Linked DNA regions of Schizosaccharomyces pombe. Changing the gene in region 1 together with any one later gene gives a genetic interaction. Each region holds a gene or a part of one and is shown on either strand. Other genes may lie near its edges.

Region 1 (5,089 bases):
ATCTGGTATATTTATTGATAAAACGTTTCGATACCTAAAACGTAGAAACAATGGAAAGATGGCACCTGAATTTCGAGTCCCCGTAATTTTATTGGGAACTTTTTTCTTTCCAGCTGGCTTGTTTATTTATGGTTGGACTGCGCAGTATCACACTCACTGGATTGGTCCAGATATTGGCGCAGCCATGTTTAATATAGGTTTGATGTTAGGCTGGCGTGGTATCCAAACTTATTTAATTGATTCTTTTATGATTTATGCAGCATCGTCGACAGCAGTTGCCTGTTGTGTTCGATCGATTGCTGCTTTTGCATTCCCTCTTTTTGGCCAGGACATGTATGATACCTTGGGATATGGATGGGGTAACTCTCTTTTGGCATTTATGTATGTTTTTTGATGGATCATCTCTCTTTTTATCAATTTTTACTAACAGTAGATAAAGTGTATTGGGATCCTCCATAATTACATGTTCTTTACTTTGGTTTGGTGGAAAACGGTTACGGGCATTATCTAGCATGGTCATTTTTAAAGACGATGTATAGGTAATCTTATTTATTTTACAGATATTTTGTAATAATACAATAATACAATTTAATAATGGTTGGAACACTATCAACTCTATTCAATAAAAAGTTAAAATAATGTCAAAAAAATTTGTATACGATTCAGTAAATACACATTTCTTCAAACGTTAAGCACTAAGCAAGAGAGCTATAATTTAATTTACAACGCAATGTGATACTTTTATATTGACTCAAAATGTTTGAAGCGTTTTTATTTTTTCGATGAATAAAAATAATACTCACATCTCGTTACTATGTACTACAAAGTTTTGTAAGAAAAGAGGCTTAATATTTATGGATGATGTTCGTTGTCACATAAAATTAGATTATTAAATTGAGCGTAAAGCTAAATAAGAAAAATGGTTTTATAAAAAAAAAAGTTGAAAAAGGGAAAAGGCAAAGCGAAAGGATGTCATATATGAAGTTTGCTCATTAGCTTAACAAATATACAAACCCGTGTATTAAAAAAAATATGGTGGTTCAAAAGACTTGATATGGTTTCCTTTGATTTAATCCCACTCTAAATTACGCTTCTTGAAAAATTCGAGTGTGGCATCTGGACCATGGTGGGAACCAAAAGCATAAGGAAGAGGTGACAAATCGCCTGTAGTGTCAAGGACATCATCAAAGATTTTCCAAGAGGTACGAACCTCATCATCACTAATAAAGTGTGTATGCTTTCCATTAATGGCATCGGCAATAACCACTTCATAGGCCTTATGGATCCATGTATCAGGGAAAGCTTCGGGATACTTAACGTCCAAAGTCACAGGAACAATTTGACGAGAGAAACCAGGTTGTTTAATGTGTCCCTTGAGGGCAATGAATTCCTTGGGATAAACACGAAGGACTAGAACATTGCTGCTATCAACGGTAGGGAACATACCTCCTTCCCTACGCTTAAAAGTGATACGAGCTTCAAAGTAATCGCGGTCCAAACCTTTACCGGCAGAAATGATGATGGGAATACCCTTCCAACGAGGTGCTTCAGAGCGAAGTTGAAGAGCACAGAATGTAGAAACTTCACTGTCATCAGCAACACCATCCAGTTCACGATAACCGGGGACCTTTCCATTTGCACTTTTAGTGTACTGTCCATAGACGATGTCCTCCTTGGAAACGGGATGAAGGGATTTCAAGAAGTCAACCTTGCATTTGATGATATCTTCGGCATCTTGAGACTTTGGCTCTTCGATGCAAAGTAAGGTAAGTAGTTGCAAAAGATGATTTTGAACGACATCGCGAAGGATACCAGCGCCCTCAAAATAACCTCCACGTCCCTCACAACCAAAGTCTTCACGAAAGTCGACACGAACACTTTCAATGTGTTCACGATTCCAGATGGGCTCGAACATGGAGTTTGCAAAGCGAATTGCAGTGAATCCATCAATCATATCCTCGCCAAGGAAATGGTCGACTTTGAAAGTATCCTTGGCAGACCAGTGCTTGCTGAGATCGCTGAGAATGGCATCGGCAGACTTGTAGTCGAAGCCGATGGGCTTCTCAACAATAAGACGAGTGACCATACCATTGGGATGAGCCTTACTCTTGATTAGCTCGGAAACGGGAGCAAAGAGATGAGGAGGCAGAACCAAGTAAAAGATACGTGTGCATTCGGAGGCGGGAGCAGTCTCCTTTTCAGCAATAATGCTGTTTAGCATCTCAAAAGACTCGGGCTTATCATAAGTACCGGGGACATACTTGTAATGCTCGACAAAGGTGTTTAAGGCCTTTTGAGAAGCACCGACAGTATCGTCAATGGGAATATGGGCGGTGACGATTTTGTTAGCGGCCTCTTGGGACAATTTGGAACGGGCATAGCCGATGATTTGAAAGTCCTCGGGAATAATTTTGCGGACGTAAAGGGCAAACAAGGCCGGGAAAGTCATTTTGGTAGCGAGATCGCCGGATGCACCGAAAACAATGATGGATAGCATTTTTGTTTAAAAAAGTTGGAAAGAAAGTGGAAAAAAAGTGTCTGAGACAAAAGGCGAGATTAGTAGTGAAAGTAAGATTGAAAATATTTTTTCTTTTGGGTGAAAGAAAAAAAAATTAAACAAATGAAATGATTTAAAGGAAATCCAATGAGATTTTTTCAAAAGGTCAATTTGCGATGATAGTTTAAATTCGAAGGAAATTGTCTTGTTATCTACGAGATAGATATACTAAATTGTGTTAGAAAAGAGCAAAGATAAAAGACAGAAAGAAAGAGAAAAGAAGAAAAGGAGAGAACAGGAGGGGGAGGAGAGGAGAAAAAGGTGATATTTCAGGTAATTATTATTGACAATTGAGTTGAATATCCTTTGATGATTCACTTTGCGTCTACCCTTAACTAGCACCATTACTCACTACCCACTACTCACTGCCCTGCCTTACCCTGCCCTTTTTTCAAAAATCCCCGGCCCAACAATAAGCGAAACGAAAAAATTCGCCAACCACCTACCTAAACTCCACACGACGAATCAAAAGCGAGTATGTTTTACAAACCAAGGTTGCTGGGGGTTCAGAAGAGGGACCATACTCTTGTATATATACAACTTGAAGCAATGCTCGTGACATCAGACACGATTGGAAAGACCTTAATGCATCTATCAACCTAACGTCTCCGCAAACATGGGACAAGGTGTAAACAAAACAAACCCAAGCCAAACTTCCTTTTAAGATGCGGGACTGCCCGGGGTGAGGCGGGGCGACAAGCTCTCGAACGTGTGGCCCAGGTATGACAAGGTGTGTGAGCAAACTTTAGACTTTAGTATTTAAGCTTTGCTGGTTACCACGCCCACAATTCCTACCGCTTCCAATGATGTGCATTGCACGATGCATGAAATGCTCTTTTACACTTTCGGCTCTACTACGTCAATGTAGCAGTAGCCTAGCCAACTGGGCAACTGAGAGTAAGGACCTTAGTGGCTAGTCAGACAGACCCCGGACCAAGGAGAGGGGAACCGAAACGCAGGTGCCAATGAATATGAGAGTTCGACGAAAAGGGGGTTACTCGGGTAATGCAAATCTTCAAAACATTCGATCATCCATCAATCAGCACTGAAGATTTTCCTCGCATAAGGTTTATGGGAAACGAGTAAAGTTTGAAGGGGGGAAGCGGGGGATCTCGGAAAAAGTAGGAATTAGAGTAGAAGCATGGCAGAGCAAGGCAGGCGGGCGCACAGCGTAGCGTTAAAAAAATAGCGCAGTAGGACCAAAGCACGTTACAGTTACGCTTGTTATAATTTACACAAGGAGGGATTTGCTGTGATATACTTTATTACACACTGATATAGGCAACATAAAACCATGTACATTAAAACTTGGGTAGTGTAAGAGATACAAAGGACTTTAATAAATTTACACTTCCATTTCGCATCTCTGTCATTGCACATCTAAGCCCGTTCTCAGAACCTGGAAATGCATTCCTCATATTCTTCCTACTAGATCCATTCTTTTTCTCAGTCTCCTTACCTTACGTATGCTTCTGGACATGTCTGGCAGAGGAATTTTGCCTTTGTATGAAGAGGGGGAGAGATCTCGGCAATAAGGAGATGGAGCATACCTCGTTAAAGGAAAATTAGGGCTTCGTTGTGGCTTCCCAAATGGTTGTCTTAGCAAAAGGAAAAAAAGGTCAGCTAGGGTAGAAGCCGAAGGGCACAAAGTTGGGGCAGGAAATCTAGAAGTTTGGAGTAAAAGGCGTTGTTTTGCTTATTAGCCAAAATTTACGAAATTGGAAATTAACAGAGCCTTCTTTTTTAACGTACGTTTTGCATATCCCTAAGTCAGTCTAGTAAAAGCATGTATTTACTGTTTTGCATGGCGTTCCTCTTCCATCCTCTTTTTTCTCTACTAAGCTTTTTCTCTTATCTCCCCTATTCCATCATAACGATAGTATTCGTATGTTAATGAGTTCGGTACATTTCGTTCGAGATGCGGTAACTGTACTGAAATGGACAGAGGAGCTAAAACAGTCTATGTACGTGAAATTTGTAAAGATAAATTTAGGCTTACAATTTTTGATATTGATGCAAATTATTCATTCCTGTCACCATGTTGTTTTCTTCCATGGGTTGTGAAGAAAACCCCTCCCTTGAATTCTTGGTCAAACACTTAGTGATCTCCTACTACTTTCCCCTAGTACCGCGGGGATATGGAATTTGGTGGTTGCTAAATACTGAAATGCATAATATTAAATAGTACGACGCCGGACGTACTCCTGATAACGAAGCGACACTTGCACGCACTATTCAGTTTCAAAAGTCGCAGTAAACGTCTATACTGATAAATGATGGGTTTGTTTCTCAAAAACGTTTAAGGAAAGCTAAGTTGGGGTGAATAAAAAAGGCAGTGACAGAATAAATGTGTCAGAAGCAATTCACTGCCTCGTTCAGTTTTTTCGTTCTTCTTTTTTTATGCCATTGTTTGAAGGAATTAGTTGGAAATTTGTTTGAACGATTTTATTATTTTGTTAAAAAGTCTTTAAAGCGATTGGAATTGGACTACAAAGTGAATATTCTTGATTTCGCTGTTTGGTTTGTCGCAAT
Region 2 (4,401 bases), on another chromosome or scaffold:
GTTCATGACTATTGTATGCTTTCACTGAAAAATTGTTTTTTTTTTATTGTTTTGGAATTTGGTAATACTGTGTGGCATTATAGACGGTGCACAGAGCCAGAGCAATACTAGAAAAGGCAGTTATAGGAAGAGCCATCTATCAATTAGAAATAATTGCTTACAACTTACACAAAAAACCTGGCTATGTTTATTAACACCTTTTTCACGTTTTAGCTTAATTACCGATACACATTCATCAGCTGCTACAAACCATAAATTGGGAAATATCTTACATATTTGGTAACCGAAAGAATCAAGTAACTAGAATTTAATTACGTTGATTCAGTTTAAAATTTAGTATAACAAGCACCACTGGTTTCCTCATAATGTTAGTTTTAAGATCTTGGGCATTAGCTTAGCACAATAGAATGGAGGGTTGACGCGGCCGTTACACATGACTTCACTTATTTGTCCACCACATACATACTTCCGGCAGCTCACTCTTCGTTGTAGGAAATATCGTAACTTTTAAATATTTATACAAATAAAAGCATTTTGTTTTGAAAAAAGAAGTTTTCTAATATATCATTTGAAAATAATAAACGAATTTCCCAAGTTTAATTAAGGCACCACTTTCAATTTTTTAACATTTACTCCGAATTAGAGTTGAATATAGTACCTTGTTTCATGTACAGGGTCTGCAAAATTGTGCAGAGAAATTGATTGTTTAAAAGTCCCAAAATTTAATCAAGTGAGAAGTTTAGATGAGTGAATCTGCACCCGCTGGTTCGAAGGAGGGAGTTTCATTCGGTAATCTCCCTCGTCCTGAGCCACGAACTTCTAAAGACCAGCAGAAGTTATCCATTTCTACCGATGTTAAAAAACCATCTCATTCTGCTCCTGTTACGCCGGTTCGGAGTGCCAGGAGCTCAATGGAACAGCCAACGTTTCGTCCTGTTGCAAAAAATTCCGTAACAGTGGCACCTGCTCGGGCGGCTGGATTCTGTCCTCCACAATTTGAGGAATATCATCATGGACGTTCCCATAGTCTTGTTTCACCACCTCCGAGTCCACATTTTCTAAAAAGGATTTCGTTCGATACGTTTAATAATAAAGCGGCTACAGATTTTTCCCTGACTCTGAAAACACAACATCAAGCTTACAAGTGGACAAGAACGTCTCGCACTTTTTTGTGTGGCATGGATGGCAATTCGTATTCTGAAGTTGCAGTCGATTGGTTATTCGAAACACTTTTAGCCGACAACGATGAAGCAGTAGTATTAAGAGTAATTGATCCTTCTTCCAAGCTAGCGGAGGATTTATCGGATGAACAATCTTACAGATCTTTAGCTGAACATATCATGGCAGGCATACTCAAGAAAGTTGATGATGATAAAGCTGTTTCTATAATAGTTGAACTCGTGGTTGGTAAACCTCAAGATATGATCCTTCGTACTATACACGTTTATTCACCTGATAGTCTTATTGTCGGTACTCGTGGCAAAGCCTTAAATAGCTTTCAGTCTCTTCTTTCTAGCGGAAGCGTTTCCAAATTTTGTTTACAAAAAAGCCCCATTCCCGTAATTGTTGTTCGACCTGATCGAAAACGAGTTCGTTCAAAAAACAAGCGCCTTAAGGACAAAACGAGAAAGTCCTATATGGAAATTTTAGAGAAAAGCGGTCGCTAATACGAATAGTTCTCTAACTTGCCAATTTATGATTAATACTTGCTTTATGACATGTAATATTTAATGCGTTTGATAAATTATTCGCAAAACGGTTGAACATTGATTTCTTTATTGTCTATTTTAAAAAAGAGCAAAAAAAATAAAGCTTTAATTTTTTTTGTTCGCTAAGCTAAAGCGTGCGGAATTTTAATGTTTAGAGTATATCTATCGTGTATTTGAGATTTCTTAATGTCAATTAATTTGTTTGTCTCTGGATTTAACTATGATAATTTGGAACATGCGTACGTTATGCTGCGTAATTTAGTTGAAATGAAAATTGTTTGTTTACATCCATTTATCATTTTAAGAATTTACGCTTTATTACCAACTCACATATTTTTCATTTATTCCCTATAGAAAAAAAATTTACCTTTACCAATGCGGGTGCCTAATGAAGTTTGTTTTAATATATTATCATATTTGGAAGCCGATGAGCTAAGGTGCAAATCGACAGTTTGTACTTCATGGAGGAATTTTATTATACCCACTTTATGGGAAAAAGTAGTATTTCAAAACGAAGCTCAATTAAATAACTTTTTTGATACTTTACAATACTCCAAGGATGTTTCGTACTATTTCAGGTATTTGCGCAAGCTGAATTGCTCTCGTGTTAGGAAATTTCTTACCGATAAACATTTAATGTTAATGACATTAGCAACAGGGATTTCTCGTCTGAATTTGTCTGGATGTACTCGCATTTCCGAGCCTCTTATTGGTAAACTGTTGTATCAGAATTTGAACTTGGTTACTATAAACTTCAGTAATATTTTCTCTTTACCGGCGAATATACTTGAATATATTTCTGATAATTGCCCTAATTTAAAAGCTTTGAATATTGGGAATTGTGGGTTAGTAGAAGATACCGGTATGGTTCAGATAATAAAACGTTGTCCGTACTTAAATCGGCTCATTATACCGAATTGTCGAAAGCTGACTGACGTCTCATTACAAATACTTTCTGAAAAAGAAGACCTGATTGAATTAGATATTAGTGGATGTGAAGGCTTTCATAATGCGGATACGCTGTCTAGGTTGGTCTCCAGAAATCGAGGTTTGAAAGAATTATCTATGGATGGTTGCACAGAATTGTCACATTTCATCACTTTTTTAAACTTAAACTGTGAATTAGATGCAATGAGGGCATTAAGTCTTAACAATTTACCAGATTTGAAAGACAGTGACATAGAATTGATAACTTGTAAGTTCTCAAAATTAAACTCTCTATTTCTTTCCAAATGCATTGGATTGACTGATTCGTCACTTTTAAGCTTAACAAAGCTTTCTCAATCTTTAACGACTCTTCATTTGGGACATTGCTATGAGATAACCGATATTGGTGTTCAATGTCTTCTAAAGTCATGTAAAAATATAACTTACATTGACTTCGGTGGTTGCCTTCGTTTGAGTGATATAGCAGTAAGTGCTATTGCTAAGTTGCCATATCTTCAAAGAGTAGGTTTGGTCAAATGCATTTGCCTTACTGACCTTTCTGTAATCTTACTAAGTGGGTCTTTTTCCAGAAACCTTGAACGAGTACATCTTTCTTATTGCATTGGACTAACCGCAAAGGTATGTAAAATATGCTATCTTTTCTAACCAAATTAGTCGGTTAGTTATTTGATGTATAACTGTAAAACGTTAAAGCATCTTAGCGTTACTGGAATTAACTCTATATTATGCACAGAATTGCGATCTTTTTCCCGTCCAATTCCAGATGGAATAAACCCGTCCCAAGTCCCGGTATTGTAAGTCTGTGGTTTTGACCTCTTAATAGTCACTAACTAATATACAGCTGTGCGTTCACTAAGGTCGAGATTGATTTGTTTCGAGAATTTATTCGTAATAGAATATAGAAATCAAACTTTTCACAGTTTCATTTAAGGCTTCAATTGACATGATGGCGTGCTTGTCCTTAACTATTCAATAATAAAACATTTTATAAAAAACGTTATTTACTCCGCAAGGTTTTTTTTTTTTTTTTTTTTTTTTTTTTTTTTTTTTTTTGATTGAACTAATCAGCAGATGGTAGCTATATATTTACAAGTACAAAAAAGTAGATTTATTACATATTATCAAAAAAACCTCTCACTCTTACAAAAGATAAGTTAAACATAGTTTCTTAAAAGAAAACCTATTTTATTGTACACCTTTCATATTGCATTACCATTCACATTAGTTAATAATTAATTTTTTTTATGGGGGTTCCATACTAACTCCTGTTCAAGAAGCATCCTTGGGTAAAGTAGATATGAAACCATCCAAATTAAATTCATCATATTGGGATTCATCCCACATTTCTGGAAGCCCTTCAAGAGCCTTTTTAGAAGTACCACTTAGACCGCGACCTGCCGCATCTTCCGATTCTTCTTTGTCAATATTTTGTACAGTTTGTTGTTCATCAGCAGTAGTGTTAAAAAGGTCTAAAATCTGATCGGTTCCAATTGAAGAAAGACCAGCATTTTGCTGATTAACAACCGTTGATGCCACGTTCATTTTAAACCTCTGAAGGCCCATTATTTTTTCCTCAAGACATCCTCGAGTGATTAAACGATACACATTCACCACCTTTTTTTGTCCAATACGATGAGCTCTGTCCATTGCCTGCAAATCTCGCATGGGATTCCAGTCATGCTCAACAAAAATAACGGTATCAGCACCAGTAAGATTAAGACCAAGACCACCAACATGAGTCGTT

Evidence for each region.
Region 2: mutations in gcd1 (region 1) and pof2 together harm fitness more than expected from each alone (negative genetic interaction), as found in Schizosaccharomyces pombe (one large-scale study listed by BioGRID).

The regions. Positions count from the first base shown.
Region 1 is NC_003421.2:238,712-243,800, forward strand, and holds gcd1 (glucose-6-phosphate 1-dehydrogenase), read right to left. Parts: upstream 3,058-5,089; 5' UTR 3,004-3,057; intron 2,726-3,003; 5' UTR 2,498-2,725; coding exon 1,070-2,497; 3' UTR 752-1,069; downstream 1-751. Other genes in the region: SPOM_SPCC1529.01 (transporter), read left to right, coding at 1-381, 440-539.
Region 2 is NC_003423.3:2,615,778-2,620,178, forward strand, and holds pof2 (F-box protein Pof2), read left to right. Parts: upstream 1-2,084; coding exon 2,085-3,275; exon of another isoform or gene 3,276-3,311; coding exon 3,312-3,451; exon of another isoform or gene 3,452-3,498; coding exon 3,499-3,559; 3' UTR 3,560-3,699; downstream 3,700-4,401. Other genes in the region: SPOM_SPBC25B2.10 (Usp (universal stress protein) family protein), read left to right, coding at 744-1,667; TATA-binding protein-associated factor Mot1, read right to left, coding at 3,927-4,401. UniProt on the Schizosaccharomyces pombe protein: Involved in substrate recognition in ubiquitin-dependent degradation.